Bombyx mori: one gene and its partner. The protein of the gene in region 2 interacts with the protein of the main gene of each other region in a pairwise test. Links are inferred from orthologs where the notes say so. Each region holds a gene or a part of one and is shown on either strand. Other genes may lie near its edges.

Region 1 (2,953 bases), on a different chromosome or scaffold from region 2:
ATGATATTTTCGAAGTTATTCTTAAAAAATTCAAGACAGCAGATTAATCGTACATGTTTTGGTACTTATTAAAGCATATTTTTATTATTTTGGCATTGATGTTCTAGCGTATATGAGGTCTGATAATAAATTAGCGACATGTAGGCCAAGAGCTTGTTTGTATGTCTACGCCAAATAAACAAAGATTTGTAAGTCCATCAAAAATCGTCTATTGAAAGTATAAATATGACAAAATCGTACTTTGTTTGATTTGACTTGATTTGACTTACCTACTATAGATAGATAAGCGAGGGATGTGATAGTTTTTATTGTCAACAGAAAGATAACCATCCTCCAGTAGAATTATTTTTATCTTATACCTTTAAATTCTTGTATATAAATATATATATAATCTGAATCTTGGAAACGGCTCCAACGATTTTCATAAAATTTAGTATACAGGGGATTTCGGGGGCGATAAATCGATCTAGCTACGATTTATTTTCAGAAAATGTTGTTTATTCGTGTTTTCAATAATCAACTCTTCCCGACATCTATTGGCGAATAATAATACTATTTTTCTTAATTGAGGGCAACTAACCGCTTTAAAGACACAACAAGATGGAGTTATCAAAAAAAAAAAACGAGCAAAGCTCGGTTATCATCTAGTTACCTTTAGAAACGTCGATGCAATTAGTGAGAATAGCAAAAAACACATTTATTATCTATGTGAAAATGCATTTAAAAAAACACTTTCCTAAAAAAGTAATACTAGCAATGCAGCGAAGTACAAAATTATTTTCAAGTATATTTTTATGTACATAAAATTCTAATCTCTGCGTCAACGATATTTTTAGAGGGAAATGTAGGTATGTGATTATTATTAAAAGTTTGGGTACATTGATACATCTTTTTCATTATTATTTTTTAACAATTATTTATAAGTATATTTAATGTTTACTGTGAATGTTTAAATTTATTTTAAATTAGTTTTCGTAAATGGTAAATTTTAAAAAGTTAGTAGCAGAGTAAGAACTGCTTTGGCAACATTAGTGAATTGACCGCTTCCCGTGAGCACATCGTTCGCTTGATCTCGCTCTGTCGATCGAGTCCGGCTGTGGAAGCCATTTTATTTCTGGTGATTGTGACAAAATTGAAAGTACTTTGATAGAACTTTTGCATTTGAAATAAACGTGTCAATGTGTTTTTATATTGGAAGTGTTTTGTGACGTGTAATTGTGATTAGTAAAAATAAGAATGTACGTGCTTAAAATTGGTTTGTGCTGACCTGCCCATATTCTTATACGATCATACCACAAGCATCGATTAGTGCAGTAAAGCGGCCTCTAATAACGGCGAATCGAGGGCATTGGACTGCTTTGTGGTGTGAGCCATGGGCAACAATGCTGCCACCGCTAATAAAAAGGTGGACGCCGCCGAAAGCGTCAAAGAATTCCTCGACCAGGCCAAAGAGGACTTCGAGGAGAAATGGAAGAAGAATCCTACCAACACCGCCGGACTGAACGATTTCGAACGGATAAAAACCCTAGGTACTGGCTCGTTTGGACGAGTCATGATAGTTCAACATAAACCTACTAAAGAATATTACGCTATGAAAATATTAGATAAACAGAAAGTGGTTAAATTGAAACAGGTGGAGCACACTCTAAACGAGAAACGTATCTTACAAGCCATCAACTTTCCGTTTTTGGTGAGCCTTAAATTCCATTTCAAGGACAACTCTAACTTGTACATGGTGTTGGAGTATGTGCCTGGAGGGGAAATGTTCTCGCATTTGCGCAAGGTGGGTCGGTTCTCGGAGCCGCATTCGCGATTCTACGCAGCTCAAATAGTCTTAGCATTTGAGTACCTTCACTATTTGGACCTTATTTATCGGGATCTGAAACCTGAAAACTTGCTAATTGATTCTCAGGGTTACTTAAAAGTTACAGATTTCGGATTCGCTAAACGTGTGAAAGGCCGCACGTGGACTTTGTGCGGCACTCCTGAGTATCTTGCACCTGAAATCATTCTATCCAAGGGATACAACAAAGCTGTGGATTGGTGGGCGTTAGGAGTGCTCGTGTATGAGATGGCGGCTGGCTACCCGCCCTTTTTCGCTGATCAACCCATTCAGATCTATGAAAAAATTGTGTCTGGCAAAGTACGATTTCCATCACATTTTGGTTCAGATCTGAAGGATCTGCTTCGTAACCTACTTCAAGTAGATTTGACCAAACGCTATGGTAACTTGAAGGCTGGTGTCAATGATATAAAAGGTCATAAATGGTTTGCCACCACCGACTGGATTGCCGTCTTCCAGAAGAAGATAGAGGCTCCATTCATACCTCGCTGCAAAGGACCCGGTGACACAAGCAATTTTGATGATTATGAAGAAGAAGCTCTTCGTATTTCTTCCACTGAAAAGTGTGCAAAGGAATTTGCAGAGTTCTGAGCACATAGCTGGTGCCTGCGAGCGGACACTCCCGTGAGTAGGTGTTTTGTTACAGTGAATCTTCCGTGAAAGAGAGTTCGTGGAATAAGAGCTGATTTATCTAGAAACAAGTGGCATTGGGAGTTTATAGACGCTGAAGCGAACCCGAGTTAGCACACTGTGCAGATAAAGTGGAGTGTAGGTGCAATGATAGTAGAAGTGATTTCCGATATTTCGGTGGCGTTCATTTGCTTAGTGCCCTTTCAAGTTGACTAACATAGAGTTGGTAGTGAGAGTTAAAGTTATCCTTGCTGTGGTGATGTCCCTGCATGATTACTCTGACACCTAGTCTGAGCATTACACCAAGCACTACCTAGTTCATTATTTCAGTAGTTATTGTCATTTTGTGGTGTGGTGCTGGAGGTGAGCAGCATTACATTGTTTTTTATGTTTTTATAAAATCAACATTTAAACTTTGTAAGTAGTGTATTAATTGAAAAATATATGTATATATTTATATTTATTTCATAACAGAATATC
Region 2 (3,519 bases):
GCGACATTTTCACAGTCCCAAGACATGGCTATATGGACTAATGACTACATGCGAGGTACCGGGATGGAGATGTACACAGAGACCCTTAGTCCTACGTTTATCGGGATGCCTTTCATTGAAGCAGCCGAGTAAGTGGGCGCTCAGAGACGCAAACATGTCGTACGACAAAGTCACACAACGTTTTTTTTGTTATTCAATACCGTACCAGTGTTTGAGCATACCATACCGCCACGAATGCGGGAAAATCGTCACTAAACGATTCGCAACGCTTCATCATTTGGTGTTCTTTTTTTATTTGTTTGCCCGCTTCATATGTGATTCGAGTCTCAATGTTTTATGTGTAATGGTTTTAGAGGTACTGCACTGAATAATGCCTCGACTGGTATAGAGCGAATAAATAACACCCGTTGGCTTACTAATCGTCTGGTGGAGTGGAAGGGACGACAGTGGCCGCCCGCGTGAGACTAACGAAGCAAAGGCTTTAGCGTCTTCTGTTGGTTGATTGCAGTCCCCCGACACTCAAGCCTGGCAGAACGATTACCTGCAGGGTACCGGATGCGAGATGTACACTGAAACTCTGTCGACCTCCTTCACGGGAATGTCGTTCCCTCAGGCCAGCGAGTAAGCCCCTCCTACCCTGGCCCCGCCTGCACTCGCACCGTAGACACTGTGTGCCGAATCGCTAACCCTTAGCTATTTGAGTGTTAACTAAACTTTGTAGACCTGCATCTCGTTGGCTGAATAAGATAGATAGTAATGGTTATTACCAGGTTTCTGAATATACCTTTTTGCATGAGGGGTCCATGATAGATGGCTGTACTTTTGGTTGGATTCATTTAGATAAACCTTTCGTGAATATTGATCAAGTGCTTCAGTACGTTCTGTCCGATTTATGGTATTGACATTTGTTATTGACAATCAGTATGATTTATAGTGTAATTGGTAATCTCATACGATTCGTTTTTTTTTTTTTTTTTTCGAATTACTTCAGTGCAGTGACGTTTCTTTGGCAAGTACTTCACTGATATTAAAATTACTAACTGCATCAGTGCCCGTTTGCATGATAACGTAAATAGTTCAACTGTCTTTGACTTTTTTTTTTTTTTTTTTTTTTTTCAACTGTCTTTGACCTGCCACACCGCTTTGCGTGTCCAATACTTTATTAATACTACTACTAACGCATTTATAACGTACCTATTCATTTCATCATGTGAATCTATCATACAGACATAGCTACGATTGAATGTCATTGTAATAATTGTAAATAGACATGCTTTAACAAAAACCGACTTCAAATAGAAAAAAAAAGATATTCCAAAACAAATGAATGTACACTAAAAACAATAATCATCGAGATCGGTTGGCGTGATTTTGAGTTATTGAGTTATTCATCTATTTGTCGCCACGTACTTAATGCAAATTTAAGACATATAATAATATGGTTTTCTGATGGATACCATTATCAGAACTGGACTAAATTGTAATGGAACTACACGGGACTACAATTTGTAGGCAGCGGCTTGGCTCTGCCCCAGGCATTGCTGAAGTTCATGGGCGACGGTAACCACTCACCATCAGGTGGGCCGTATGCTCGTCTGCCTACAAGGGCAATAAAAAAAACACGGGAAACGTCAGCTTTCTAATAAAAACAGAATCATCAAAATCGATTCTTCCAGTCAAAAGTTATGAGGTAACAAACATAAAAAACATCCAGTCGAATTGAGAACCTATTCCTTTTTTGAAGTCGGTTAAAAATGCATGGTAACCGCTCTGAATATTAACAACTGTTAATTGAATCTGATTACTTCGTATATTTATTTGTTACTGTTATATGTTAGACTGATGTTTCTTCTCAGGTTATGCTTTACGAAACTCAAGCTTCTTCTATTAGCAATAGAGATCAAGGGAGAAGAGGGAGCCGATAGCAAAATATCGATAAACCCTCGCAACGCGAAAATCCATGCCAATACCCAAGGGTTCTTCATAGCACAGTCGGCTGATGAAGTCAAAAGGTAAGCAAACGTTCGTCGGTTAGAAGTTAATGTTATGCTCTAGCAGTGATGGGCAAACATTTTTAATGGCGGGCCACAAAGCTTAAGAAATTCTAGAGGTGGGCCAGAATTATAGAAAAATGTTTTTTTTTTTCAATAAATAAACTAATACCTGTGACAGAATGCCGAGATAATTAGAATTGGCAAGTTGCATGGCAAGTTGGATGGCAAGTCAATTATGAGATAATGAAAGCTCGAAACACCCCTGACGAATCGGAGCTTTCATTAAAAATTTGAAGATTTTCAATTATAAACGTTAGATTTTTTTTACGCGCCAAAATGCTGACTAGAGTATTTAGGATGGATGGTCTCTCGGCGGGCCGGATTAAATACTTCCGCGGGCCGTACTTTGCCCATCACTGTCTAGAACATTCCGCAAAACGAACGTACATTACGAACATTTCTGCTTCCAGAGCGTGGTTTTATTGTAAGGCCTGCCACGAGGACATCAAAGACGAAACACTCATCAAGAAGTGCAAATGCAAAAACTGTAAGATCACTGTCATGCTTTAATGAATTAACAAACTCTTACTCGTTTCAATAATATAATATAGCAAAAAAATACTCTATAATTGATGCCATTTTATATGAAGAACGCCTCCCGACTAATTCGAACGATTATTAATTCTGTGACATTCTTTCTGGAGAAAAAATTGTAAATTTATAATATTTATTTATTACGTTAATATTATCACGAGCTGTGTCCTTTAATATAAATTATAATCACTTAACACAAAAATTAAATAAATAGATTCAATAATGAACAATGTACAAACACTGTATGTAGGTAAATCGTTTTTGGAACGAAGTTCCTTATGGGACGATACGGAGGGGTACCCTAACCGGGAAAAAACGTCCGTAACGTAAGATTTTTATTATTTATGTATAGTCTTAGTATGATGCCTATACAGTGTCTAATGTATAGTCTACGTGATGACGGTTATTATTATTTTAAAAATTATAATAGAAAATTTAGAATTTTTTTTTTATTTGATTTTTTTTTGTGTTTTCTATTTATGAGATTATTGAGTATAATTAAATCTCGTTTAAAATAACAATATTTAATTTCTCTGACATCAAATGAATTATTTTTATTTTTATCAATAAAAAAATCATAATAATGAATGTAGACCCGAATAATTATTTTCTTTATACCTCGAATAGAACTTAAAATTAATATTTTTATAATAAGGAACTTCGTTCCTATCGGGTGTCCCACGACACCACACATCTTTTTTTTTTCTGGAGGATATTTTGACACAGAATCTCTCTATAACTGACACTGTTTACTTACTGATCGAGACATTAATATGATATATTGTTCGGCCAAACTTTTAGTAACGGCGCACCAGCGGAAGGTTGGAGCCGACATAGGTAACTTGCACAACACCTATAACCTCACAAGTTGACGTTTTCCAATTATTTTTCGTGTATAATCGTTTTGAGTTGCTTTAGTGGTGTTGCGTCG

Evidence for each region.
Region 1: the proteins of calcium-activated potassium channel slowpoke (region 2) and cAMP-dependent protein kinase C1 interact in binary tests that used the Drosophila melanogaster proteins (3 or more experiments, as listed by UniProt). The link is inferred for Bombyx mori from reciprocal best matches to the Drosophila melanogaster genes slo and Pka-C1.

The regions. Positions count from the first base shown.
Region 1 is NC_085129.1:12,556,024-12,558,976, reverse strand, and holds cAMP-dependent protein kinase C1, read left to right. Parts: upstream 1-1,372; coding exon 1,373-2,434; downstream 2,435-2,953. UniProt on the Drosophila melanogaster protein: Serine/threonine-protein kinase involved in memory formation. Promotes long-term memory by phosphorylating meng and by regulating CrebB protein stability and activity.
Region 2 is NC_085115.1:13,429,933-13,433,451, reverse strand, and holds part of calcium-activated potassium channel slowpoke, read left to right. Parts: intron 1-15; coding exon 16-128; intron 129-1,856; coding exon 1,857-2,012; intron 2,013-2,464; coding exon 2,465-2,541; intron 2,542-3,519. UniProt on the Drosophila melanogaster protein: Potassium channel activated by both membrane depolarization or increase in cytosolic Ca(2+) that mediates export of K(+). Its activation dampens the excitatory events that elevate the cytosolic Ca(2+) concentration and/or depolarize the cell membrane.